7 linked regions of the Oryctolagus cuniculus genome follow. The protein of the gene in region 7 purifies or fractionates together with the protein of the main gene of each other region. This does not show direct contact. Links are inferred from orthologs where the notes say so. Each region holds a gene or a part of one and is shown on either strand. Other genes may lie near its edges.

Region 1 (4,251 bases), on a different chromosome or scaffold from region 7:
CTCTAGGTAGGAGAGAAACGGTCGATGGTCCGACCGTCGGGCCCGGCGGCCAGGTGAGCGCCCTGGCTCAGCACCTCCGCCGCCTTGTCCGGGCTGAGGCCCAGCTCCGCGGTGAACTTGGCCAGCGGGTAGAGGCTCTCGAGCGCCACCTTGGGGTCGTGCAGGAAGTGCGTGGTCTGCGCCAGCAGCTCGGCAGCGGCCGCCTTGTCCTGCTGCTTCAGGCTCAGCTGCTCGGCCGTGAGGCGGGCTACGGCGAAGACGCCCTCGGGGAAATCCAGCTTGCCCTTGCCGTCCGGGCCCGGGACACCAGGCAGCCCCCCTAGGCCCGCCAGCGCCCCGGCTGCGCCGGCCGCGCCACCCACGGCGTGCATCTTCATATGGCTGATGAGGTTGCGTTGCTGTGCGAACTTGCCGCCGCACACCTGGCACTCGTAGGGCTTCTCGCCCGAGTGGATGCGCATGTGCTCCGTGAGGCGGTACTGGCGCGTGAAGCGCATGCCGCATGCGTCGCACGCGAAAGGCTTGAGGCCCAGGTGGCTGCGCATGTGGCGCGTCATGGTCCCGCGCTGCGTGAACTTTTTCCCGCAGATGGTGCATGGATAGGGCCGTGTCAGCCAGTGTGTCTTCTCGTGCTGCCGCAGCGTGGCGGGGTCCTTGTAGCTCTTGTCGCAGGATGCGCAGCGGTATGGCCGCAGCAGCTCTCCCAGGCCGCCAGGAGCCCCGGCCACCTTGTCCCCGCCGCCGCCAAAAGGGGGCCCTAGGCCCGCCGCCCCGGCGGCCACGTCGGCTGCCTCGGCCCGGCCATACAGCGCCTCCTCCTCCTCCACGTGTGCCTCCACGTGCGCATTCAGCTGCTCAGAGCTGGGGAACCCCTTGCCGCAAGGGATGCAAACGTACAGGTTGTCCCCGAAGCTCTCCGGCTCGCCGTACGCCAGGTGCGGACACGGGTAGCCCTCCAGGTGGCCTCCGGGCGGGCTGGGGTCCTCGCTGCTGCCAGTCTCCTCACTGCTGCTCTTGTAGTCGTCGCCGTCGCCGCCGGGGCCTGGCCCGTCCAGGCTGCCCGGGTAGCGCGGTGGCGGCACCAGGCCGAGTGGGGGCCCCGCGGGCGAGGCAGCCCCATCCCCGCCGCGCTCCTCGCAGCGCTCGCCGGGGGAGCCGCGCTCGCGGACCAGCTCGTCACCGTAGCTACCCAGGCCTGGCTCGTGCTTCATCCAGCGGTAGAGAAGGCTGGACCCGTCGGGGCGGCCGGGGGGCTCGGGTCCCGGGCTGACGCCGCCGCGGAACGGGTCCGGAGGCGGCGCGGCCTCCTCCAGCTTCTGAAAGGCCAGCGGCGGCAGCGGCGGCAGGGCAAGCGGCGGCTCCTTATAGGCGGCAGGACCGGCACTGGGCGGGCTGTCTGGGCGCGGGGGCAGCTCGCGCTCACTCAGCGGCCTCTCGGGGGCCGCGGAGCCGGGCGGGCTTTTCTTGGACAGGTCCAGGCCGCAGAGCGGGGAGCAGCGACGCTCCGGGGCGCAGAGCGCAGCGGCGGGGCCGGGGCCCGAGGCGTACAGCTCGGCGCAGTGCGTGTTGACCCCGGCCTCTGGGCCCGACGACGGCTCGGCGGTGGGCGGCTGCGGCGGTGGCGGCGGCGGCGGCGGCCCGGCCGGGGAGGAGTAGCAGGCCTGGATGACGGGCGTGGCGGCCCTGAGGCCCCGGCCCGGCCGCCCGTAGGGCGCGTAGCCGCCGCCGCCGCTGCCGCCGCCCCGCAGGTGGCAGTACTTGCCGTGGCGCTTGAGGCGCTTCTTGCACAGCGCCACAAGATCGGGGATCTGCAGGTAGCTGGCGGCGGCCAGCACGGCGCCCAGGCTCGGCTCGGCCCCGGGGGCCACGGCCGCCGCCGCCGCCGCCTCCGCGCCGTCAGCCAGGCGGCCGGTGTAGATGAAGTCCAGCACCAGGCGGAACACGGCCGGGCTCACCATGTCATGGTCCAGGTTCAGCAGGTTGTCGTGCACCACCAGGGACTTGAGGTAGGCGCTGCTGGCCGCCAGCACGTTCTTGTGCGCGCGGAAGAGGGCGTTCTGCACCACGATGATCACGTCGCACAAGAAGCCCTTGGTGCGCTGGCTGTTGAGCTGCAGCAGCAGCTGCCTCGAGTGGCCGGGCGCCTCCATCGTGTCCAGCATCGTCTGCCCAGCACACTCTCCTGCGGGGACACACAGCAGCCGGGTAAGAGGCCCGCAGCGAGACCCGGCCGCCGGCACTTCCCCTTCCCCTTCCCCTCAGCTGAGCAGGGGCATGCAGCACCGCGGCCTGGGCACGGGCGGAGGACCAGCGGCCTCCGGGAGTGGGCGCCTAGGCCGCCTGGGCCGATGCAAGAGGAGGAGCGGAGCAGAGCGCCCAGCGGGTGGAGAGGCGGCCGGGCCGGGGCTGTGCGCGCCCCGGAGCCCCCGGCGCTGCTGGGCACACGGACTGGGTGCTTCCCAGGAGAAAAAAACTGTTCAGGCGAGGTGACCCTTTCGGAGACAGTTACCCGATTTGAGTAAAATGTCCGCTTCAGGAAAAGTCATTCAGGGCCCAGAAGTTTGCTCAAGTGGGGAGAAGGGGAGCCGAGCGAGAAGCGCCTCCCGCCTCGGGAGAAGTTGCCCCAGCTTGGGGAAGTGATACGGAGCACGGGAGCGCGGGGCCCCGCCGTGGCGCCGCCCCGGCCGGGGGCTGTCAGGCCCTCGCTCGGGGCCCGGGCAGCGGCCGCGGCGCGGGGAGAGGAGGCAGCGGCCGCCGTGGCGGGCAGAGCGCGAAGGCCGGGCCCCGGCGCGGGGAGGGCGTTATATCGGGGCAGGAGGCTGAGGCAGGAAGCAGGTGGGGGGGAGGGGGGAGCCACGCAGCTCCCAGGGGAGGGAGGGGGCAGCGCCCCGGGCGGGCACGGCGCGCAGCCGGCTGTGGCCCTGACCCTGGCCTGCGCCCCACCCGCGTTCCGGCCCCAGGCCCGGCCTCGGCCCGACGTTTGCGGACCCGGCGCCTCCCTCCGCAGCTCCCCGGTCCCCTGCTCCCCCGGAACTCTGCCGCCCCAAACTTGGGGGGAAACTTTCCCAACTTCAGACAGGGCGGGACGAGCGCGCCGGCCCCGGTCCCTCCGCTCCCAGGTTTTTTGCTCTCGGCCCCCAATTTCGGCGGCGGTCTGGCGGCCGTGGGGCCCGAGCCCTGAGCTTCCTCGCCCGCCCCACCCTGCTCCCTGCCTGGCCCGCAGGGCCTCGCAGCTGGTTACCTGCGGCCGGAGCCCGGCGAGCGGCCCTCCCCGCGGCGGTGGCAGCTCCTAGCCCGCGCCCCACCAGACCCCGCTGCCAGGCGCCGAGCTGTGCCAGGGCAGCGCCCCTGCAGCCCCGCCCGCCAGCTCCCCTTCCCTTCCCTTCCCCTCGCCTTTCCAGCCCATGTGCGGGCAGAGCCGGCCCCGGGCCGTTGACCCCAGCGTGAACCCGGCGCGCAGCAGCGGCCCGGCGGTCCCCAGTCCTCCAGGGGCGACAGCCAGACCCCCGAGCGCCAGCCGCTAGTCGCGTTGGGGCGCCCACGCCAGAGGATGCGCCCAAGGCGGCCAGCCGCGCGACGACCGGGCTGTCCCGGGTCCCCTGTCCTTCCCGGTCCCCAGCTCCAGGACCCACCTGGGGGGCATGTCGGAAGCCCCGGGCCCGGCTGTCGGCGGATCCAGGGGGGGACGTGGCTGCGCTGCGCTGCCCTCCGCCCGCCGGGCCCCCGGTCGGTCTGTCCTGCTGCTCCGTCCTCCCCGCGTCCTGGTCGCGTCTCAGCCCCGCCGCGCTTTCCGCACACTCTTATCTGGAGCGGCCCGGGCCGGCGGGCGGTGCTGCGGCTGCGGCGCCACCTCGCGGCTGCGCAGGGCTCTACAGGCAGGCTCGCGGCTACCCTTCTGCACACCTGGGCGGGCGCCTCTCCCGATGCCCAGCTGGGCGGGGGATCCAGCCGCAGGTTCGCGCTCCCAGATGTGCCCACCTGGGGCCCTGGACCCCAGACCTGCGAGCCCCTCCCAACCATGGCGCCTTGAACTGAGCCCCGATCCAGAAAATTCCTGCCTGCGGAAGAGGGGACTCTTGGCGGCAGTAGGTGGTGGGAGGGAGGTTGTGGAAATCCTAAACCAGACGAAGATAGACAGGTTCTGGGTGCCTCTCCTTAGACATCTCTGTAAGGGACTGTCCACTCGGGCCTACCCAACATACGCAGCATACCAACCCTCACTCAGGTCCTTAGATCAGGTTTGCACATCAG
Region 2 (3,500 bases), on a different chromosome or scaffold from region 7:
AGCCCGTGAGTAAATGTCCCTCACAGAAACTTGTGATTTCAGCTTAATTCTTCTGTTTTCATAAATGCTTAGAGCCTGAGCACTAAGGATTCTGAGCACTATGATGAGAATGATCCGACATCTCTTTCTTCTGATTGAAACCTTTGTATATGAAAGAATCCAGAAATCCACATCCTACAGAAAGAAGCACCCGGACATCATGACTGTACCAGAAAAAAGAGAGGAAGAATCCATAACAGCAAAGACTGAGAACAGCAGTGCTACACCTGAGCATCTTTCTGAGAAGATCCTTTGGCTGCATGTCTTTAACCCTAAAGGATGGCCTAAGCCTCCCACCAGCTTCCTCTCCCTTGTCTTCTGTTTTCATGCATCCACCCATCAAGTAGAGGGACTGTGTCCTAGGCCAGCGGGACGGACGGATACAAGGAGTGAGGTGTCTCCATGGTATGCGCTTTCACTAGCAGGCAAGTTTCTGAGCTCCGCAAACCATGGGGAGGGGTCCCTATGAGTTGCTGTGGGGACCGCCCTGTGTGGTTTAACAGATGACTCTTTGAGAGGGCCTCCAGATGGAGTAAAGTTCAAGGCAAACAGAAGACAGGCTTCCCCCCAGGCACCCCCACCCCCACCCCGCCCATCACCTCCACCAAAGCACTGGGCACTGACCTGCTTTGCCCACTTCCCCTTGCCTCAGCGGTCCTTCAGCCCGGCACCCAGCTCTGAGATGAGGCCTGCTTAGCACCAGTGAAGCTCCCCACGTTCAAACCAACAACGTTCTGTGTGGAGATGAGGGAGTCAAAGTTAAAATCCAACCCGTCCGCGTCCATGAGTTCACTACGGATAATGGACTCCATGTCACATTCCAAGCTCCCATTGAACATGTCCAGGTCCAAGTCGCTGGGGAACTTCTCGTGGCCCATGACGGGAAGGTTTGCACTAGCTGAGTACAAGGAGGAGCCTGAGAGCGAGTCCGAGAGGGTTTGCATAGACTGGCTGACGGGAGACGGCTGCTGGTGTTTGGCTGACCCGAGGCTGCTGGAGTCACTCAAGCCCATGCTGCTGACGGAATTCGACAAGGCACGGCTGCCACCGAGAGCGCCCTGGGTCTGGTGCTGGTGGTGGAGCAAGTTCTGATTGACCAAACTCCCCTGGTTAGGCTGGGCAGCAAAGGACATCATCGGGTCATTGCGCAGCATCACGTGCCGGCGGGAGTTCTGGGCAGACACAGCGGTGCTGGCCTGAGACATCAAGGGGTCCGACTGGGTCATCATGACGTCGCTGTGGCTGAGCGAGTCTGAAGTGAGCAGGTCTTGGAGTGTCTGGCTGCCGTAGTGCGACATGGAAGAGAAAGTGGCTGGCTTGTTCTCCTGGATGGTCTGCATGGGGGACTGGCGCAGGGAGTTCAGAGACGACGGCCCGAACACCGTGCTGTTAAAGGAGCCGGTCGGAGAGCCCAGGCCGGAGCCCTTGGCGGCGTAGGGGAAGCTGGAGCTCCGCTGCATGAGCGTCCCGGGGGGTGACGGCTGGGAGGACGGCAGGGGGATGTTGTCCAGCAGGTCGTCCATGAGGTTGTCAGCCAGCCCGTCGTTCAGGTTCATGGTGCCCGCCATGTCGGTGAGCCGCGGCAGCTCCACGGCGCACGGCTTGCTCGCAGAAGGCGACAGGCTGGCGGAGCTGCTGTACAGCATCGGGGAGAGCGGAGCATCGTCGTCCTGGACCTCATTAAGCTCTGTGCTCGCCAGGATGGGCGACAGGCGGCCGCTAACCGTGCTGGCGTTGGAGTTGGTGCGCGAGCGGAAGTCCGTCCAGGCGTCCAGCTCGTCGCTGCTGCGCGACGTGGGGCTGCCGGGCCACTTGGCCAGTTGGGAGGGGCTGTCGTCGGCCGCCTCGGGTGCCGTCTGCAGGGCCGCCTTCTTCTTGGCGGCGCGGCCACGGCTCTTGGTGTACTTGTTGCTGTTGTCCATGGAAACGGCCCGCCGCCGGGGCGCCTTCCCGCTCTTGCCCCCATCGGGGTTGATGATCCACCATGAGCTCTTGCCCGTCCCCTCGTTCTGCACCCGCATGAACCGACTGTGCAGCGACAGGTTGTGTCGGATGGAGTTCTGCAGAGGAGAAGGAAAACGCAGAATGTGAGCCAGGTCGGTCCAGAACTGAGGGCTCAGAACCCCCAGCCCAGCAGACTCCTTATTTGCAAAAGCCGCTTCTCACACCAGGGGCTTAAAAAGCTTAACTGAGAAGACCAACAGCCGCACCACTCTCCAAAACAACATCAAACGGAAGGCTTCCCATCCTGGAGAAGGACAGACGGTTGCGGAGCAAAGCTGCTGCTCCCCCCAGTTCCTAGCTTTCACTCTATTTCCTATTCTGGGGTTCCCACTTGTAATTTATGAGCACACCACTTCCTCCCTGCACTTTGCAACCACCCTCTGGCTCCTTAAGGTAACCCATCCCCTGGGTGGCTCTTAGCTTCTCTTCTGCTCCCCTCCTCCAGGCACCCAGGGGCAGCAGCCACCTCTTCCTAACCACTTCCATGAGTTGAGAACTGGTGCGAAATTTTTACCCACCCTCTCTACCACTCCATCTCAGCATGCCACAACTTCACGCCTTGTTACGTGACACCCAGCAGAACTTGTTGGGCCAACAAAAGGTAGGCAAGTCTCCCGCTGCACTCCCGCTGCAAAGCACCATGGGCTGAGCTCAGCAGCTCCTCCCAGAGTACCATATGAACGGGGGTGGGGGAAGGGGACTGACAGCGGAGAGGCCTGCGCACACAGCCTCAGCACCCTGTTGACAGCACACGTGCGCCTTTGATGGGACGTGGTGAAAATGGTATTGACCTCTGTGGTCTTGCTTCCAAAACCCACAGGCCCCGTCTACTCATGAGCAAGACCTCAACTGAGGAGCATTCACAAAATGTATGTTCAGTGCTCCTCAAAACGGTCACGGCCAAGAGCTGCCTGAGGAGACAGGAGGGGCGGCTCCAGATGCAGTGGTGTGGACTGTGGGACACTTGAGGCTCTGGGACAGGAAAGGGACCTGTAGTAACAGTTGAGACAAGTGTGCCATCCTGTAAGAGGTTAACAACAGGGGACCGTGCGATGTTGGGTATGTGGGAACTCCACAGCAGCTTGGCCACTCTACTTTTGCAGACGTAAAACTATTCTAAAATGAAAGGTTTATGATTTTAAAAACACAGGAGGGTAAAACACCCTCACAACTCTAATGGCTGCACCCATCTTGCAAGCATCCTCCTCCCGACATGGTGGACTCACCCAGTGGAGACGGATGACCCAGATTCAGTCCCGTCTCTGCCGCTGACCAACCATGTGACCCTGAACAAATCGCTTATCTGTCTGCCGCAGCTGCGGTGCCCGTCTTCATTATGGTCACAATCATCTCCCAACCACCCCTCCCTGACAGGGATGACGTAAGGGCGATGGATGATAATACACTTCTGAAGCCAGTCACGCTAGGAAGCCACAATGTTCCTACCGCCCTTATAA
Region 3 (3,451 bases), on a different chromosome or scaffold from region 7:
TAAGTAGGTTCAGCTATAACAATTTCAATATCCTGTTCAGATGTGTGTTTGCTGCTTTTGTTCTCCCTTAAATATCGCTACTGACTTAGTTTCCTGTCATTGTGATAACTCTTGTACAACCCATGAATTCCTCTAGATTTTTCGTGTATAGAGCACTTTCTAGGCATTTGAGTACAAAAACATTTGTGCAGTCTTAGGACTAGATGAAATAGCAATGAAAGCAGTCAGGTTTTTTTAGCACCCGTTGGCAGCTCAGAAATGACCCCAGCAAATGACTGCGCCTCTCCTACCTTAGCAAAGCTGTCAGAAATGTGGAAAGCATTGGACTTGCAGAAAGGTTAGCAGTTTAGAGGCAGTAAAACGGGAGGCTAGAGAAAAGACCCAAGCTCTTAGAGGACCTATTCCTCATGTCCCTGCAGGATGATTCCATCAGCAGAGCCTCCTGCCAGAACTGCCTTCCTGAGATTGCCTGCATTTTGTTTTCATTCTACTAGAATTCTAAAGATTCATTTTGACTACCAAGTATTCCTGCTTAAAAATGTGGACCTGCTTGCATTTTTTTTTCCAGTCTGCCCCGTAAAACAGTGGTAGAGCAGAGCTCCTTCCTTCCGATGAGACAAATGTTAGCTCCAAGAATCTAAGGACCACTTTTTAAAAGTCTAAATTCTTGCCTAGTGAAAGCCAGAATGAAAAACAAAGGCGAATAATGCAGTCATATGTTACCGATTAATTCATACACTTTTCAAACTTTCTGCAAATTTTTCACACAAAAAGCTTCACGTGGAACCAAGTAAATTTTGTTAGTACACACTGTACATTCTTTTTATACCCTTTCCTTCCGGTGCCAGGTATTATGTTTTTGCTGTAGTTTTGTCTGTATCAGGCCCACCTCATTTTTATCCACAGCAACCCCCTCTTGTCGTCTTCCCTTGCTGTAGGAACTGAGCCACGGTGACAAGCACTGTGCTTGCTTTGGTCAAGTTGTTGAAATTATAAATCAGTTAATCTTTAATCTATGCTTTTATTTGCATCCCTTGTTTCTATGTTAAGCTGTATTTTCTTATTCTCGTCTTCCTTTAGGATGAAAGGCAAGACACTAGCTCAGAAGGGGTGTCAAACGTCGAGGATCAGAATGACTCTGATTCTACGCCACCCAAAAAGAAAATGCGAAAGACAGAAAATGGAATGTATGCTTGTGATCTGTGTGATAAGATATTCCAGAAGAGTAGCTCATTATTGAGACACAAATATGAACACACAGGTATGTCAGCGAACACACACATATTGGCCTTTCTAAAAGTGCCTGTGCTATGATGTACTGAAAAAGTGCTAGGTCAAAAAGTGCTAATGTTCTTTGAATTAATGGTCTTTCTGTTTTTCACTTCTCTGATCTTGCCACATTAGCTGTCCACCTGCTTCCACCTGGTGTATTTAAGTTCTGTGCCTTTATTTTTTTTTTCCTGTCTTTAAATGACTTGGTATCCCTTTAACTCATCACAGTGTTTATTCTGTCCGCACTGATTTCATGCAAGATCATGCTGTATAAATAAGCATACAGTACCCATTAGTGGAAAACAGATCAGCGGGCTAACGCAGTGAGACAGGATCTGGCCCTATAAGAGAAAGCGCTGCTTCCTAAGTGTGCAGCGTGCCCAGCATCAGAAGGGTTCAGGTAAGCCTACTGTGTGTAGGAAGAACCTCTGTCTAGATCCTAGGGCCCCTTCCAACCCTGAGGTTCCACAATTCTTCCACAGACTAGACACTCTTTAGGATAACTCAGAGATGGACAACAGGAGCTAAGAATGTTTTCTTCGCGTTTGATAGCCCCTGAAAGCGATGGAGACTCACGACGTGAAGTCGCAGGAAGGCGGGGTGTCAGCATGCGGTGAATGGCGCTGTTGGCGCAGAGCCACGCCCATCTGTCCCCCGTGTCTGCCGGCTTCCCTCGCAGGCCTCACGGGCAGAGCGCGGTGTGTCACGGAGCCCACTTGGCACGCACAGCCGCACGTGTTGACCGTCTGGCTCTTCCAGAAAACACTTGCCGACTCCTGGCCCCACTCCCTCCGTCCTGCGGCCTGCTAGCGAAGTTCGGCGGCGGTCCCCGGGAGGGCAGGAGAGCCCCGACAAGTGTTTACACTCGCTGTGGCGTGAACACGCCTGCCAGGCTGACTCCAGGCTCCAGGAGTCGCGGGCTTCCGGACAGTGCAGAATCTGAGAAAGGAAGGCGCCCCAGACGCGCCAGCCAGGCACAGGGCCATCGAGTCCCTCCACTCCCGCCTCCCTCTGAGAGACAGGGTCGCTGTCCCAGGCACAGGGCGATCCAGTCCCTCCACTCCCGCCTCCCTCTGTGAGAGACGGGGTCGCTGTCCCAGGCACAGGGCGATCCAGTCCCTCCACTCCCGCCTCCCTCTGAGAGAGACGGGGTCGCTGTCCCAGGCACAGGGCGATCGAGTCCCTCCACTCCTGTCTCCCTCTGAGAGACGGGGTCGCTGTCCTAGGCACAGGGCGATCCAGTCCCTCCTCCCGCCTCCCTCTGAGAGACGGGGTCGCTGTCCCAGGCACAGGGCTATGGCGGTCCCTCCACTCCCGCCTCCCTCTGAGAGACAGGGTCGCTGTCCCAGGCACAGGGCGATCCAGTCCCTCCACTCCCGCCTCCCTCTGAGAGAGACGGGGTCGCTGTCCCAGGCACAGGGCGATCCAGTCCCTCCATTCCCGCCTCCCTCTGTGAGAGACACGGTCGCTGTCCCAGACACAGGGCGATCCAGTCCCTCCATTCCCGCCTCCCTCTGAGAGACGGGGTCGCTGTCCCAGGCACAGGGTGATTGAGTCCCTCCACTCCCGCCTCCCTCTGAGAGACGGGGTCGCTGTCCCAGGCACAGGGCGATCCAGTCCCTCCACTCCCGCCTCCCTCTGAGAGACTGAGAGACGGGGTCGCTGTCCCAGGCACAGGGCGATCCAGTCCCTCCATTCCCGCCTCCCTCTGAGAGACGGGGTCGCTGTCCCAGGCACAGGGCTATGGCGGTCCCTCCTCCCGCCTCCCGCTCCTGCTGGCCACACTCACCTTTCACATCCTTAGCAACTATGCTCATGCACCTCTTAGAACAGGTACGGAACTCTTCCCTCCCTCAGCCCTCAGCGACACCGGGCGATTCCCGGAGCACCCCGGCACGCTTCTCAGAACACCTTGAGACTGGGGATCCCGGCCTCAGCCAGGCGATGAGGCAGCCCGGTCCCCGCTGGCCCCCGGGGGGCCGCCACCTCTCCAGGAGCGGGGACGCGGTGTCCACCCCGCCTCGCGGCACCCCTGCCCCGGGAGCCGTCCCACGGGAGCCGCACCCCAGCCCCACGCCTCCACCCCCGGCTCCGTCCCACGGGAGCCGCACCCCTGCCCCACACCTCCACCCCGGCTCCGTCCCACGGGAGCCGCACCCCTGCCCCACGCCTCCACCCC
Region 4 (3,642 bases), on a different chromosome or scaffold from region 7:
AGCTGCCTCCTGTGGCCTTCGCGTGCATCGACGAGGCTCACTGCCTGTCCCAGTGGTCCCACAACTTCCGGCCCTGCTACCTGCGCGTCTGCAAGGTGAGCCGCGGACGGGTCTGGGTGGGTGAGCGGACCAGGGCCCACCTGGGCTCAGTGACCCACCTCTGGCACAGGTGCTTCGGGAACGCATGGGCGTGCGCTGTTTCCTGGGCCTCACAGCCACCGCCACACGGAGCACTGCCCGTGACGTGGCCCAGCACCTGGGCGTGGCTGAGGAGCTGGGCCTCGGCGGGCCGGTTGCCATCCCCCCGAATCTGCATCTCTCCGTGTCCATGGACAGGGACCCCGAGCAGGTGGGTGTGCACAGCCCAGGGGCCCCGGGGCCCCTGCAGGCGGCCGCTCTGACACTGCCCCTCGGCAGGCTGTGGTGACGCTACTGCAGGGCGAGCGCTTCCGGGCGCTGGATTCCATCATCGTGTACTGCATCCGGCGCGAGGACACGGAGCGGATCGCCGCGCTCCTGCGAACCTGCCTGCGTGGGGCTCCGGGCCTGGGGCCCGCAGGTGAGGCAGGCAGGGCTGGGGCCCCTGAGGACTCCGCCTGGGCACCCATGCCTTCGTGCCAGCGGCTGCCTGTCTGCCTTCTCCAGAGGCCGTGGCCCAAGCCTACCACGCCGGCATGCTGAGCCAGGAGCGGCGGCGCGTGCAGCGGGCGTTCATGCAGGGCCAGCTGCGCGTGGTGGTGGCCACGGTGGCCTTCGGGATGGGGCTGGACCGGCCGGATGTGCGGGCCGTGCTGCACCTGGGGCTGCCCCCGAGCGTCGAGAGCTACGTGCAGGCCGTGGGCCGGGCTGGGCGTGACGGGCAGCCTGCCCACTGCCACCTCTTCCTGCAGCCCCAGGTTGGTCCCCCTCCTGGCCGCGGGGGTGTCCGCCACCCTGGCCGCTCCTCACGACTGTCCCCTGCAGGGTGAAGACCTCCGGGAGCTGCGCAGACACGTGCACGCTGACGGCACGGACTTCCTGGCCGTGAAGAAGCTGGTGCAGTGGGCGTTTGCGCCCTGCACCTGCTCCCAGCTGCTCCCAGCCCAGGAGGGAGGTGTGGGCGGCGAGAGGCCCGCGGCAGGCCCCCCCTCCCAGGAGGCCCAGCGGCACCACGGCCAGCAGGCAGCCCCCGCGTCCGGCAGGAGAGCCTGCTCTGGTCACGAGCGGCTGCTCCCAGCACAGCAGACAGTGCAGGCACTGGACATGCCGGAGGAGGGTGAGGGACCCGGAGGAGGGCCTGGGGTGTGAGGAGGGCCCCATCCTGTGTGCCCTGAGCCCTGCTCTGGCCCTAGCCATAGAGACTCTGCTGTGTTACCTGGAGCTGCACCCTCGGCACTGGCTGGAGCTGCTGCCCGCCGCCCACACCCGCTGCCATCTGCGCTGCCCTGGGGGCCCCGCTCAGCTCCAGGCCCTTGCCCATAGGTGAGCACCCCCCCCCCAGGCTGGGGACGGGGACAGAGGAAGGGGCTGCTGGTCTGATGTGTGCTCCCACCCCCCACCCCGGGCACAGGTGTCCCCCTCTGGCTGCACACTTCGCCCAGTGGTCACCTGAGGACCCCAGGCACAGCCGCAGTTCTGTGGAGTTGGACATGCTGGAGCTGGTGGACGCGAGCGGCTGGGAGCTGGCCTCTGTGCAGCGGGCTCTCCGCCAGCTGCAGTGGGACCCAGAGTCCAGGAGAGGTGAGCCCAGCCCCCCCAGCCCAGCCCAGCCCAGGCCCTGCTGCCTGCCAGCTTGGGACGCTGCGCTTTTGGCAGGTGCACCCAGGGGCACAGGTGTGCTGGTGGAGTTCAAGGAGCCGGCCTTCCACCTGCGGAGCCCCGGCGACCTGAGGGCGGAGGACTTGGACCAGATCTGCGACTTCCTGTATGGCTGTGTGCAGGCCCGTGAGCGCAAGGCCCTGGCTCGCCTGTGCCAGACCTTCCAGGCCTTTCGCAGGTGGGAGAGAGTGGCCAGAGCTGGGGACGGGCCAGCTGTGCAGCCCGGTTCTGACAGGCTTGTCTCTGCAGCGTGGCCTTCCCCAGCTGCGGGCCCTGCCTGGAGCAGGTGGACGAGGAGCGCAGCGCCCGGCTCAAGGCCCTGCTCGGCCGCTACTTTGAGGAAGAAGGGGGAGAGGCCGAGGAGCTGGGACTTGAGGACCAGCAGGCACCGGAGCTGGGGCAGGCCAGAGTGAGTCCAGATTGGGTGAGCCTGGCTCCAGGTTCCCCAGGCCACCCAGGGCCTTGGCTGTGTGAGCCACGGTGCCAGGGGGCCTGGGGAGACTGACGTGCCCGCCCGCCCGCAGCTGCAGGACTGGGAGGAGCAGATCCGCCGCGACATCCGCCTGCTCCTGTCCCTGCGGCCCGAGGAGAGGTTCTCGGGCAGGACCCTGGCCCGCATCTTCCACGGCATCGGTGAGGGCGCAGGGCCAGCCTAGGGCCGGGGGCTGGGGCGGAGGCGGCCCCCAGCTCAGCTCCGCACGCTCCTCCCTTGCAGGAAGCCCCTGCTACCCCGCCCAGGTGTACGGGCAGGACCAGCGCTTCTGGAGGAAGTATCTGCACCTGGACTTCCACGGGCTGGTGCGCCTGGCCACAGAGGAGCTCCTGCCGCCGTGCCGCTGACTGCCGGGGGGGGGGGGGGGCACAGCACACAGCATGGACAAGCACGGGGGCGGGTGGACAGGCAGGCTGCAAAGTGCAGAATAAAAGGCACCCAACACGTCCAGACACAGCACTCGGGCCACGGCACGCCCTGCTTTATTGGCTCAGGCCAGCGTGCTGGGGGCCAGGCCAAGGTCCAGCAGGGGCAGGGCCGACAGTGCGAGCAGCAGAGAGAAGCAGAGCCGCAGGCCCAGGCCGTCGGCCAGGGCTCCAGACAGGGCCCCCAGCAGCAGCTTCCCGAGCAGCTCCAGCGTGGCCAGGAGGCTGTAGTGCGTGGCCTGTGGTGGGGGCGGGGTCAGAGCCTGCACAGCTGCCCAGCCAGCGGCCCCGGGCGCCCCCACCTCACGCCCTCACCTGCAGGGCCCTGGGCGCCCGCTGACTGCAGCGCATCATCACGGTGAAGGTGACGGTGGTGACCAGGCCCCCCAGGAAGTGCTGCAGGCACAGACTCAGCAAGGCTGCACCTGGGGGGGGGGGACTGGTCACAGGGCCCAGGCTCCCAGCCCTCCCTCCCCGAGGCCAGCCCCTTACCTCTCAGGACGGAGGCAGGGCCCACGCTGGCATCTGGGGAGTCCAAGTGGAAGAGCAGGACGGTCTGGCAGGCCAGGCCCCCGAGGCGGAGCCGCAGCAGTGACCTCAGCAGGGGCAGCGGCCGCCTGGGACGGGGCGGGGGTGGGGACATGGAGCCACTGGGGGGTGGGGAGCAGGTGGCGGGGGTGGGGGGGCTGTCCAGGGCGCTCACCAGTGTCTGGCTAGCAGGGCCCCGGCCAGGGCAGAGCCAGCGATGGAGCAGGCCACGGCGCCCACGCCGTTCCAGAGCCCCAGCTCGGGGGCGGAGGCGCCGCGGTCCAGCAGGAGGAGGGGCAGCAGGCTGCCGGCGCCCTGCTCGCCTGCGGGAGACCCTGAGCTGCAGCAGCCCACACCCCACAGGGAGCCGTGCTGCCGCCTGACTTGAGGCTTCACTCA
Region 5 (3,936 bases), on a different chromosome or scaffold from region 7:
ATTATAAGGTAGGGCAGATTAAATATTAATAAGCAAGAAAACCAGCAATAATCACATTGCCTCATTCATTTTATGGGTTGCGCTGCAAACTAAGGCATTCTAATGTTGCCTGAGAAAATCAGAGGGAGGAAAACCCGGTAGATTTTCACAACCTGTCTGAGCTATTCTTAAGTGTTCCATTCCAAAGTACAAGTTTTTCTCCTCTGATTGGATTTCGGATTCTGGCAACGAATTCCCCTTTCTTCTTTCACTTAAATCAGCAATCAGATGAGAATCTCTCGGAGGAGGCCTGTTTTTCTCTAGATTGTGTGATATGGCATCATACTCAGAAAATGAACAAAATAAACTGCTTTCATCTTAGCAATACTAATCACTGGAGAAACCTGAATTTTGGCTAGACTTTATACAGTACAAACGTTCCCACAGCGGGGGTGGGGTGCAGCGAGGAAGCAAGGCACGATGGTTTCAGGAGCTTCTAGAATCTCGTTGCACATTTTAAATCTTCTCAAATGCAAGCTTGCTTTTCTTAAAAGCTCCAGGAACAGTAAGAAGTTTTTTTTTTTTTTTTTTTAAATTCCCCCCAATCTTGCCTAGACCAGAGTTCAGTTTCGCATACAGCAAGGTTTAAGTAGGAGGCTGCTTGCTGATTTAAGTTTGCCAGGTTCTGTCCTGGGCCTTGCCACACGCCAACACAACTGCCAAGTCAAAATCGCTTAATCCATTCCTCAAGCAGAAAGCATACCGGCAGCTCCTAGGGACCAGAAGGAAAAGTTCATCTGGGCGGCACTGATTTAAAGGATCTGATGGAGTTTTTTCAAAACCAAGTTGGGGACTGGGGTACGGAGAACCTACTCAAACTTTCCTCAGGAAATCGGATGTTTACCGAGTAAACAAGCAGTAGCCACAGAAACACCTGCTACTCCCGGAGAGCCTTCGGACGCCACCACCGCCACCTCCTGGCGACATCCGGGCATTTCTCTACAAACTCCTGACGTCTGGGCGTCAGAGCCGTTGGGTTTATTTGAAACATACGTACAACCAATCAATCGGCGCTCGCAGGGAGGTGGGCGGAGAGCAGCGACCAATCGCCGTCCCCCTGCAGGCTCCGGCCTATGGGAAGGAGGTTGACATCACGCGCCAATCGGCATGGCTCTTAGAGAGAGCGGCTCGCTTTTTGAATTGGCTGTGGCGGCCGGCGGCGAGGAATGGCGGTATCGGTGTGAGGGGTCTGCGTGTGAAGAGGTGGAATTGCCAGGGCGTTTTCGGAGCGTGGAGAGGACCTGAGGTGAGGTCTGGGGAGGGGGAAGCGGGCGGGTATCTCCGGAGCTGTGGCCTCCTTTGCCAGCGGGCTCCATCCCCTCCCCGGTGACCGCGGATTCCGGAGCGCCCAGCCCTGGCTTCCTGGCTCTGGTTCAGCGGGGCTGTGGCGGGTGGGAGAGCCTGGAGTCCCGAGATTGCTGGGCATCTTCCCGGCTCTCGCGGTCGGATCTCCTTTCCGGAAGAGCGTTTGTGGGCGAAGGCGGGGAGCTGGAAGGGATTTTGGTGAGCCAGGCAGACCTCTGCGGCTGGGGCCTGGCAGCTGCAGCCGCGGGCGCCTTATCGCCAGAATTTAGTGATTTCACGCTAGGATTCTTCCTTGGCTTCCTCTGTGCAGGAAATTGAGATTTTTGCAAGGGCAAGCCGGGCAAGCCCTCTCCTTCCCTTCCTAGCCCCAGATGTCTGTGTGGCATAGGGGTTAAAAGCGCAGCCTCTGGAAGCAGCCGGGCTCTAGTCCTGGCCTTAGCATTTACTGTGACTTAGGGGGCGTCACTTCCCCTCTCTGTTTCTAGGTTTCTCTACCTAGAAAATAGTAGTGCCTACCTCTCAGGATCGCTGCCAAGATTAAATAAGTGCAAGTAGAAGGTTTAGGGCAGTGTTTAACACCAGCTGACATATCGAGTATCGGATTTTGGTCTTTCACCTTGGAAGATGATTTTCTAAAAAAAAAAAAAAATTAAGTAAAAGGAAAACTAAACTGGTCATTAGTTTAAACTTGAGAGGAAAAGGGTGCATATGTTATAGCTTATTTAGTCAGAGGCTCTTTATCTGTTCTTGGATGAGAAGTAAGCTGTATGGGTTTATAAGTGCGGATCCCATTGTGTTTATTTTAAAAGCTCTGCAATACATGAATATGAGAAAAAGTGATTAATGTATTTGTAATTGGACTATATGTATCATCTTACCATGTAGCTCTTTTTTCTCTGTAAGTTGAAACCGTTTTAGTAATAAATTGATCATATATAGTAAGAAACAATTTTAATTATTACTTATTTTGATGGTTTTTAAAGTGGTATTTTAAAATATTTTTTAAATCTCTAATTAGCACGTGATTGACACATATTTATGGGGTACAGAGTACTATTTCATTACAAGTATACAATATGTAATGGTCACATCAGGGCCATTGGTATACTTATCACCTCAAACATTTATCATCTCCTTGTACTGGGAATGGTCAAAATCCTCTCTACTATGTTGAACTATACAATTAATTGTTGTCAACCATAGTTACCCTGTGTTAATGCTATAGAGAATTAAAAGTTATTCCTGCTATGCAACTGCAATAAATCACATTTTTTATTTATTAAAATTTCCCTCCTTCTATCCTTAAAGCAGCTTAGTTTTTCTCTTGACTTTTTAAAAATAAATTGTTACGCATACATTGAATGAAAACGTACTTAGAGCCTCTTCTGTTTTATTGGAGATGATTAAGTATAGGAGACTTAAAAGAATAATGAGAGCTGAGGATTTAGTTGTAAATTGTCATTGATTGTAAGTACTGTAAATGACAACTTTTGGAACAGTTCTTTGGGATAGCCTTGGATTAATGATTGATGACATGGATGTTAAGACAATAAGAAAAATCTATGTTGTGAATATTAAATAAAAATGAATAACTATTTGCCACTCATTTTAAGATATTGTCTCTTCAGTGTTTACCACAAGTGAACTTGAGTTGTGCTTCCATATCTGCATTACCCATGTAGAAACTGAGGCTTAACTCACCAAGTGTAGAGCTGAGACAGGAGCAGAATTACCTGACTTTGAGGTCTACTGCCTGGTATCATCATCCAGAAATGATGCTGATGTCTTACCATTTTTCCACAGGTTACAGTTTACACTAGTTGCTAAGAATCTGGAGGAAGATATTTGTATTTATTATTCTGAAGAAGGAAGAAAGGGTAAAGTAGATCGCATATGTACTTTCAGGTAAGGGTAGGGCTTCCTCTCTCTATTTGTCTGATATTAGAAATCTACTTCAAGATAATCGACTCACATAAAAATGCAAGTTTGAACTGGTGAAATCCTATCAACCTTTTTCTTTATGCCCTACTTGCCCAACTTTTCAACCTCTTAAGTCCTAGAAATCTTGAAAAAAAGGATTTGTTTTTCACAGTCCAGAGTTATATTGGCAAAAGCCCATGCATAATTGTCTTAACAAATTTTTACAGCAGAGATGTTTCTAAAACCATATAAAGTATGGGTAAGGAAGCACAAATAAGGGAGCAGTTCGATTATACCTGAGAGGTTCAGAGATCCACAGAAGACGAATTAAGAGTGGTAGATTAGGGGTTGGAAGACATGCTTGGTGGAGAGCTGAGCACTATTAAATGCAAGTATTTGCAAAGTAGCTGGGATTTAAGTTTGACAAATGCTGAGAAATTCATTGTTGGCAGCAATGTAGATTGCGTGTACATTGGGGGAGTTACAGGTGATGAACCTGAGTAGGTAGGCTGGGACTTTATTGTCAGTTTGATGGTGAATTTATATAGGGAGGGGTACCCATGGAAGTTGTTAGGCAAAGTGATATGATCATGTTTTTTTTGTGACCCATACCTATGAAAACTCTCTGAAGAGTGATTTCTGAAGAAGCTGATGATAAAGTTGGGGCTGTTG
Region 6 (3,500 bases), on a different chromosome or scaffold from region 7:
TTGGCACTTACTATGATAATTTCTGTGCCATTGCTAGGTTAATTGGGACCAAAACATGTAGACAGGTAAGCATAACTGTTCAATATTATTACAAGAGCTCCAAATATAGATATAAGTATGTACTGATCCAAAAGGCATAGTGACAGAGAGGGAGAAACAGAGAGCTCTTCAGTCCACAGGTTCACTCCCCAAATGCCGACAACACTGGGGTTGATCCAGGCTGAACGCAGGAGTTGGAACTCCATGTGGGTGACAAGGACCCAAGTTCTTGGGCTGTTATCCCATGCCTTCCCAGGCATATTAGCAGAAGCTGGATTGGAAGTGGAACAGCCGGGTCTCAAACCAGGCACTCTGATAGGGGATGTGGACATCCCAAGTGGTGGCTTAATTTGCTACGCCACAGTGTTCACCCCAGCATCACTACACTTGACCAGAAAATAATTGCAGCTACTCTCTACTTCCTGAAGGTAGGGACAATTATTTCTCCTGTATCCCTAGCATTTAGCAGTGTCAAGAAGAGAGAAGTCTTTTTGGTATGAATGAGTATAAAAATGATTTGCTTCAAAAACTATTCTCATGACTGTGACTGCCTCTTGTCAGGTGTATGAGTTTAGAGTCAAAGAATCTAGTATCATAGCTCCAGCTCCCGCTGAGGATGTCGATACCCCTCCAAGAAAGAAGAAAAGGAAACACCGGTAAGTCTGCTGTGAGGCTGTTTAGAGAAGTCAAAATAGGTGTTGCAGGCAAGGCACTTTATAAAGGCAGTGATCAGTTTCTACTTGGGCTGTTATACAACAACTTCAGACTGTCTTCAAAAACATATTTGTGAAATCGTGTTTCCACTCGCAATTGCTGTTTTTCTGTAAGAATACAACAGCCATCAGTACATGTGGAATGATCATAAAAGTTCTGGTTACCATGTGTATTGGTTATCAAAAACATAAATGATTTAGTAGTTGTTTTTTTTTTTCCAGTAAAGGCTACATAAATAGTCCCGTTTTAGCATTTTTTTTGACAGGCAGAGTGGACAGTGAGAGAGAGAGAGACAGAGAGAAAGGTCTTCCTTTTCCGTTGGTTCACCCCCCAATGGCCGCTGCGGCTGGCACACTGTGGCTAGCGCACTGTGCTGATCCAAAGCCAGGAGCCAGGTGCTTCTCCTGGTCTCCCATGGGGTGCAGGGCCAAGCACTTGGGCCATCCTCTACTGCACTCCCGGGCCACAGCAGAGAGCTGGACTGGAAGATGAGCAGCCGGGACAGAATCCGGTGCCCTGACTGGGACTAGAACCCGGGGTGCCGTTGCCGCAGGCGTAGGATTACCCTATTGAGCCGCGGCGCCGGCCCCTTTTTAGCATTTTTTTAGGAAATGTTTTGATAGGTGTTTCTACTGTGAGCTCCAGGTTAGTTTTAGGGAGTGTATCTTTTTTTTTTTTAATTAATTTTATTTGAGAGGCAGAGAAAGAGACAGATGGCTCCCATCTTGTGGTTCATTCCCCAAATGACCTACAACAGCAGGGAATTTGCCAGGCCAAAGCAAGAAGCTGGGAACTCAATCCTGGTCTCCCACATGACTGGCAGAAACCCAACTACTTGAGCCATCACTGCTGCTCTGTTGGCAGGAAACTAGAATCAGGCGCACAGATATGGTACAAAAGCATCTTAACCACTAGGCCAAATGCTTGCCTCCTTTAAAAGAGAAGCATAGTTGAGTGGCTAAGGAAACACATACATATGCCTAAAAACTACAGATAGGCTCTTTGTGTATTTCTTTAATAAAGGTCAAGTCATCCTAATTGAGAACTTAAATTGTAAGATTTTCTCACAGGAATTTAGGTTTTAGTAGATTTTTCTGAAGTTTTGGTTGAATTTCTGACCGTGTAGCTCAGCTAGATTATTAATGATGCTTGAAATAAGAGATAGTATCAGCATAATTCACATCAGAATAAATCTGTAGATACAGACACTTGCTGCTACACAAAGTATATCTGCTTATAAGTCCTGAGCAGGTGATGTGGATGAGCATAGAAAGGGATGCCACCAGCCTGGCTTCTCCGCACACCTTAGGCAGCCTGAGTGATGAGGCTGTTTCGGAGTTGCTCTGAACTGATGGCAAATAGTAGCTGGATAGTGTGTGCCTTTTCGGTTGTAACCTGGCTTTAAAGCACTGCTGTGTTAATGGCACAGATTGAGCCATCGAAGCAGCTGTCTGTTGGATTTGTAGCTGTGACCCTGTGCCCTAGCTTTATGTGAAGTTTGTATTTTTTTTCTTTGTGTGTGTGTGTGTTGTTTTTGTTTTTGTTTTTGTTTTTTTTTGCAGGTTGTGGGCAGCACACTGCAGAAAGATACAACTGAAAAAGGGTTAGCATCTTTCCTTCACCTTCATTATTAGCTTTAAATGTCTGTTCTCATTTGACTTAGAATAGTGACTGCATTAGAGTTGGGGTTGCTGTGATAGAATTCATTTTTGTACATCAAACCTGTATAAATGGAGGGTGTCTCTTGATGAATGGCCAAGCAGTGCTCTTTGTAAAGAGACAGCTGATTGGATGGAGTGAGTCACTTAATTGGTTAAAGGAGAAGCAGTTTGGAAAAGATGCACTTTGAGACTTAGTGGCAAAGCTCCTGAGCACTTTGGGGTGGGAGGTTGCTTTTGCCATCATTTTTAAACAGGACTGTGTGTAACATTGTAAATACAGTACAGCTCCAAAGGTGGTAGGGAAGAGTGTACTCTTGTTCATTGTGTGTGATCCTTTCCCCTCTTCCTGGATTAATGGGCCTGCCTGCTGTTATCTTTATTCAGATGGCTCCTCTAACCATGTTTACAACTATCAACCATGTGATCATCCACGGCAGCCTTGTGACAGTTCGTGCCCTTGTGTGATAGCACAAAATTTTTGTGAAAAGTTTTGTCAGTGTAGTTCAGAGTGTAAGTATTTGTTGCTTTGATGCAATTGCATGAGAACTAAGGAGACCTTTGGCCAGCAATTAAAAATAGTGATTTAAATCAGAACCAAAGGACACGGGAGTGGCTCCCTTGTTGTTTACTTAGGAAATCTTATCTTACAGTCATTTATTGAGTGTCATACCTGGCACTGTGCTGGTGTCCATTCATTCTCCTGGGTAACGTGTATGTGTGTGTGCAGGACAGACCAAATTGCATTAAAGGAACTTAATCTTTCTTTTGTCTCTGATCATTTATATTAAATCATAATAAAGTTGGCACAGAATGAAAGGGGAATCTAGTAGTTACCAAATAATTTTGAGGCACCAGAGATTGTTAGGAGGATTTCAGTTTTCAGTAAAGAAATACAGCATAAGGCTAATACCTTTTTATAATTGTTTAATGAAGCTGCACACAAAGCTGGGATGTTAAGGAAGTGATTAGAACTGTGAGCTTTTAGAATGGTCGTGGACCATGGATATTTTGTAGTCTCAACCCTTCTTTCATACCTATTTTATAATCATAGAACCTTATATACCATTTACCAATACAAACTGGAGA
Region 7 (4,051 bases):
ATTCTGTTTAATTTGAAGTGCAAACATTTTTGAAACTAGTAAATGATATCTCAAAAATGAGTTTCCAGCCTTCTTGGTTCTTTTTGAAGCTAAAGCAACAGAGCTTGAGTTGCTTGCCTAAGGTCATGCAGGTATCGGTGCAATATATCCAGGACCCATAGTCAGTTTAAGGAATGGTGTGCTATGAACGCTGAGAAGTTCTTTAAGTGACTAGAAATGCTGCAGGCAGATGCCACGCAAAGCATAGGTCCTTAGTTATGGCTGTAAAGTAACAATTTTCCAGGGCAAGTGGAAAGTGGTGGAGTTTCCAGTGGGGAAGCAACTCTGGTTTTTGAACTACTATGTACCTTTTAAATATAGCTAGCTTATTTAATTTTCATAACCCTGCAAAATAGGTATTATGAGAAAAAATTGGATTTAGAAAAGGCTAACTTGCTCGGTATACAAGAATCCCAAATTTAAAGCAAACCCAGAGATGGGGAGTGGCCGAGCCTTGTTCTCGACTGCCCGACTTGACCCAATGCAATCACTACACCTGAGAACACCGGGGCCCACAGGTAGGAACGCACACACATTTGAGTACAAGTTACGGACCGAAAGCTGATAGGCTGACTCCCAAGTTCCCAGGTCAAAGGACCTAGGACGGGGACACACGCCTGTGAGGATCTGACAATCTCGCCCCACAAGTGAGGGCGACAGGGCACAAGAGCCAATCACTGAAGGGGAGGGCCAAGCAAAGGAGCTGAAGAAGGGCTGTCAGAATGGCGCGGGGGCGGCAGAGCGCCTTGTTCTTTCCTCCCCACTGACAAAAGCCCAACGGCTACCCAGCGTTATTTCAAGGAGCGAAGCTTCAGTCCTCATCGCCTCTCAGGAGCCCAACTTTAACCCTTAGCTAAAAATGCAGACAGGGCTAGGCAGGGAAGGTGTGCGCTGGAGGCAGAAGTGGAAACTCCGTGAACCAAAACGTGTGCCTTCCGGACGGTCCTGAGTTCAGGACGCTTCCAAACAGAAGTTCAAAAGCGGCCGCCGAGCGAGCGTGCAAGACACGCCCGCCACTGAGGGGAGGGGCCTCAGGCCGCCCGAGCCGCGTTTCCTCCCCGCCCGAGCAGAGAGGGAGACGCCCGGGCCTCCGCCCGCCACGTGACCGGCCGTGTTGTGGTTCGGCCCGCGTGGGTGGCGGGAGCGGCGGGAGGGCGGGGGCGGGGGCGGAGGCAGGTCACGTGACGGGGTTTAAATCTCCCGCAGCCGGAGCCGCGGGGGCGCCAGTGCCGCGCGTCGAGCGGGAGCAGAGGAGGCGAGGAAGGAGGGCCAGAGAGGCAGTTGGAAGATGGCGGACGAGGCGGCGCTCGCCCTTCAGCCTGGCGGCTCCCCGTCGGCTGCGGCGGCCGAGAGGGAGGCCGCTTCGCCGCCTGCTGGAGAGCCGCTCCGCAAGAGGCCGCGGAGAGACGGCCCTGGCCTCGGGTGGAGCCCGGGCGAGTCCGGCGGGCCGGCCCCCGAGCGTGAGGTGCCGGCGGCGGCGGCGGCGGCGGCCGGGAGCTGCCCGGCTGTGGCGGCGGCGCTGTGGCGGGAGGCGGAGGCGGCGACGGCGACGGGCGGGGAGCGAGAGGCCCAGGCTATGGTAGCGGCCGGAGGAGACAATGGGCCTGGCCTGCAGGGCCTACCCCGGGAGCCGCCGCCGGCCGACGATTTCTGCGAAGACGAAGACGACGACGACGAGGGCGAAGAGGAGGAAGAGGCGGCGGCGGGGATTGGGTACAGAGGTGCGCAGGGCGCGGGCGGCCGGGACTGCGCATCCCCCTCCTCCTCCTCTCGGGGCCCCTCCTAGTGTCCGGTTGGGGGGGGGGTCTCTAGGGCGGGCCGGGGGTTCCGGGCTGGCTCGCGGGATCCTCTCCCCATGGCGGCCCTCCGTTCAGCCGCGCTGCTCCCGGGCTGCCGGCCGTGCGGTGGGGAGCTGCGCGCGGACTTGCTCCTTGTCTTCCCTCGGTCCGCGGCCCCTCTCGGCGGCCTTGCGGCGTTCGACGCAGCCGCCGGGTGTGGACGCTGTCTCCCTTGGCTTTACAAATAAGTTTTCTCTCTTCTAGTATTGCTTTCGTTGAACTTACTTTGCTCTCCTCCTCCTTCACCAGCACACTTAAAGTCTGCAACTTTCGGCCGTCCCGTTGGTCGACCTTTCGCAGTTGCCCGTGCAAACTGACACCTGTGCCATTTATTTATTTATTTGACGATCTGTACTTTTAAACTTGTAGTTATAAATTTGGAAAGAGCAAAGCGGCTTTCTGAGGTCTTAACCTGAAAACTTTAAAAGCATAGTTTCTAAAGCAGTCTTTTGTGATGCGTTTAGTGGGGATCGCATAATGAAGTACTTTCAGAGTGCTTTATATTAATATTGTGGTTGAGTCGTGTTCTGAAGTGGTTTTAAGCTAAATGGGATTCTTCTGTATATATGTGATCCTGAAGCAGGTTGACATGTTTTTGACATACTGAAGTACATGTCTTGTCCTTGAGGGTTTCATAGTTTGACTTGAGAAGTTTCTGTGTCTGTCAGTACTGTGTCGGAACTAGCCAGTGGAGCATTTAGTAGCCACATGGAAAAAAAAAAATGTGTAGTGTATACATCAGGGACTGCACAGGTGAAGCAGCTCCTGATTTCAAGAAACAAAATTCCTTCCTCCTTCAGGTAAATTTGGCAAATATTAAATTTCTTTGTGATTCAGTCTGCTGAACTAAGGAACCATCATAGTATTTAGAAGCACAATAAATGGGAGAAACAGATAATGCAGAAATAGCTAAGTATGTTTAGTAGTATATAAAAGCCCAGAGTGCAGGCAGCCTTGGTTTTCACAACGTTGGTGGGTAAATTTTGACAACTTGCATGTACTCCTTTGCTTGTATGATTGCTAAGCTCAGTCTATAGAGACTACCTCTTATTCTGTTTTGACTTTTTAAAAAGTAGACTCAGATTTTTGATAGACTGAAGCTTTGAATTCTGCAAAGGATCTCTTGAGGATCAGAGAACTGCTCTTGTGAATGTTGACCACCTTTACACATGCGGGATGTATGTTAAATGCTTTAGTCATTAAAAATGGTTGCTTTGTGACCACTGATGAGTCTTCTTGCATTTCAGATGCAGGCTGTCAGCAGCCTTAATGTTGATTTCTTTTGCAGATAATCTCTTGTTCGGTGATGAAATTATCACTAATGGCTTTCACTCATGTGAAAGCGATGACGACGACAGAGCCTCACATGCAAGCTCTAGTGACTGGACTCCAAGGCCACGGATAGGTATGGTTCAGAGCTGTGCCCCTCCCCCCATTTTCCCTCTGTCCCTTTAATAGATTGAAGTTTTTAGGTACATGGAGAGATTTAATAACAACTTATATTTCTAAGAAAAATCTAGTGCTCTTAAGTACAAAAATTGTACGTATTTATGGGGTACCATTTGATGTTTTGACACATTATAGATTGTGTAACATCTAAATTAGAGTAAACATCCCTGTCTCATACATCATCTTGTTATTGTGAAATCATTCAAAATCTTTTTTGCTATTTTTTTTAAAGAAAAATAAAGGGGTAAGCATAGAGGTTAATATGCTAGTTGGGTCTCCTGGATCCTATATCTGAGTGCCTACTTTGAAGTCCTGCTTTGCTACTGATTCCAGCTTCTTGGTAATGGACAGTGTTGGAGTTGGTGGATAGTGGTTCCAGTGGCTGGGTTCCTACTACCCCTGTAAAAGACTTGGATTGAGTTCTTGACTCCTGGCTTCTGCGTGGCCCAGCCCAGCTATTGTGGCTGTTTGGGGACTGAAACGGCAGAGGGGAGCTGTCACTCACATCCGCTTTCTTGCTCTCTTGTGCTCTCACTCCACCTTTTTAAATAAAGAACATAATTTTTTAAAAATTAAATAAAACACACAATGCATTTTCTTTTTTTTTTTTTTTTTAAGACTTATTTACTTACTTGAAAGTCGGAGTTACACAGAGACGGAGAGAGGTCTTCCATCCGCTGGTTTACTCCCCAGATAGCTGCAACAACTGGAGCTGTGCCGATCCG

The links.
Region 1: the proteins of SIRT1 (region 7) and HIC1 purify together in Homo sapiens (affinity purification with western blotting; 4 studies listed by BioGRID and IntAct, with this or other methods). This does not show direct contact. The link is inferred for Oryctolagus cuniculus from reciprocal best matches to the Homo sapiens genes SIRT1 and HIC1.
Region 2: the proteins of SIRT1 (region 7) and FOXO3 purify together in Homo sapiens (affinity purification with western blotting; 4 studies listed by BioGRID and IntAct, with this or other methods). This does not show direct contact. The link is inferred for Oryctolagus cuniculus from reciprocal best matches to the Homo sapiens genes SIRT1 and FOXO3.
Region 3: the proteins of SIRT1 (region 7) and ZEB1 purify together in Homo sapiens (affinity purification with western blotting; 4 studies listed by BioGRID, with this or other methods). This does not show direct contact. The link is inferred for Oryctolagus cuniculus from reciprocal best matches to the Homo sapiens genes SIRT1 and ZEB1.
Region 4: the proteins of SIRT1 (region 7) and RECQL4 purify together in Homo sapiens (affinity purification with mass spectrometry; 3 studies listed by BioGRID). This does not show direct contact. The link is inferred for Oryctolagus cuniculus from reciprocal best matches to the Homo sapiens genes SIRT1 and RECQL4.
Region 5: the proteins of SIRT1 (region 7) and ECT2 purify together in Homo sapiens (affinity purification with mass spectrometry; 3 studies listed by BioGRID). This does not show direct contact. The link is inferred for Oryctolagus cuniculus from reciprocal best matches to the Homo sapiens genes SIRT1 and ECT2.
Region 6: the proteins of SIRT1 (region 7) and EZH2 purify together in Homo sapiens (affinity purification with western blotting; 3 studies listed by BioGRID and IntAct, with this or other methods). This does not show direct contact. The link is inferred for Oryctolagus cuniculus from reciprocal best matches to the Homo sapiens genes SIRT1 and EZH2.

What each region holds. Positions count from the first base shown.
Region 1 is NC_091448.1:47,537,658-47,541,908, reverse strand, and holds the start of HIC1 (hypermethylated in cancer 1 protein), read right to left. Parts: upstream 2,801-4,251; 5' UTR 2,547-2,800; coding exon 2,510-2,546; intron 2,183-2,509; coding exon 3-2,182; 3' UTR 1-2. UniProt on the Homo sapiens protein: Transcriptional repressor. Recognizes and binds to the consensus sequence '5-[CG]NG[CG]GGGCA[CA]CC-3'. May act as a tumor suppressor. Involved in development of head, face, limbs and ventral body wall.
Region 2 is NC_091436.1:62,749,352-62,752,851, forward strand, and holds part of FOXO3 (forkhead box protein O3), read right to left. Parts: intron 2,100-3,500; coding exon 699-2,099; 3' UTR 664-698; intron 1-663. UniProt on the Homo sapiens protein: Transcriptional activator that recognizes and binds to the DNA sequence 5'-[AG]TAAA[TC]A-3' and regulates different processes, such as apoptosis and autophagy.
Region 3 is NC_091444.1:102,062,863-102,066,313, forward strand, and holds part of ZEB1 (zinc finger E-box-binding homeobox 1), read left to right. Parts: intron 1-1,080; coding exon 1,081-1,261; intron 1,262-3,451. UniProt on the Homo sapiens protein: Acts as a transcriptional repressor. Inhibits interleukin-2 (IL-2) gene expression. Enhances or represses the promoter activity of the ATP1A1 gene depending on the quantity of cDNA and on the cell type.
Region 4 is NC_091437.1:168,206,635-168,210,276, reverse strand, and holds the end of RECQL4 (ATP-dependent DNA helicase Q4), read left to right. Parts: coding exon 1-95; intron 96-169; coding exon 170-349; intron 350-417; coding exon 418-559; intron 560-645; coding exon 646-896; intron 897-963; coding exon 964-1,255; intron 1,256-1,331; coding exon 1,332-1,461; intron 1,462-1,549; coding exon 1,550-1,719; intron 1,720-1,794; coding exon 1,795-1,975; intron 1,976-2,046; coding exon 2,047-2,206; intron 2,207-2,321; coding exon 2,322-2,430; intron 2,431-2,512; coding exon 2,513-2,637; 3' UTR 2,638-2,780; coding exon of another isoform or gene 2,781-2,954; 3' UTR 2,955-3,030; coding exon of another isoform or gene 3,031-3,140; 3' UTR 3,141-3,142; downstream 3,143-3,642. Other genes in the region: MFSD3 (major facilitator superfamily domain-containing protein 3), read right to left, coding at 2,781-2,954, 3,031-3,140, 3,208-3,332, 3,419-3,566. UniProt on the Homo sapiens protein: An ATP-dependent DNA helicase which unwinds dsDNA with a 3'-overhang in a 3'-5' direction. Does not unwind more than 18 bp of dsDNA. May modulate chromosome segregation. The N-terminal domain (residues 1-54) binds DNA Y-shaped DNA better than ss- or dsDNA.
Region 5 is NC_091435.1:107,482,258-107,486,193, reverse strand, and holds the start of ECT2 (protein ECT2), read left to right. Parts: upstream 1-1,136; 5' UTR 1,137-1,285; intron 1,286-3,147; 5' UTR 3,148-3,249; intron 3,250-3,936. UniProt on the Homo sapiens protein: Guanine nucleotide exchange factor (GEF) that catalyzes the exchange of GDP for GTP. Promotes guanine nucleotide exchange on the Rho family members of small GTPases, like RHOA, RHOC, RAC1 and CDC42.
Region 6 is NC_091434.1:174,760,348-174,763,847, forward strand, and holds part of EZH2 (histone-lysine N-methyltransferase EZH2), read left to right. Parts: coding exon 1-65; intron 66-600; coding exon 601-695; intron 696-2,315; coding exon 2,316-2,356; intron 2,357-2,798; coding exon 2,799-2,924; intron 2,925-3,500. UniProt on the Homo sapiens protein: Polycomb group (PcG) protein. Catalytic subunit of the PRC2/EED-EZH2 complex, which methylates 'Lys-9' (H3K9me) and 'Lys-27' (H3K27me) of histone H3, leading to transcriptional repression of the affected target gene.
Region 7 is NC_091446.1:59,832,961-59,837,011, forward strand, and holds the start of SIRT1 (NAD-dependent protein deacetylase sirtuin-1), read left to right. Parts: upstream 1-1,251; 5' UTR 1,252-1,327; coding exon 1,328-1,760; intron 1,761-2,675; exon of another isoform or gene 2,676-2,743; intron 2,744-3,165; coding exon 3,166-3,282; intron 3,283-4,051. UniProt on the Homo sapiens protein: NAD-dependent protein deacetylase that links transcriptional regulation directly to intracellular energetics and participates in the coordination of several separated cellular functions such as cell cycle, response to DNA damage, metabolism, apoptosis and autophagy.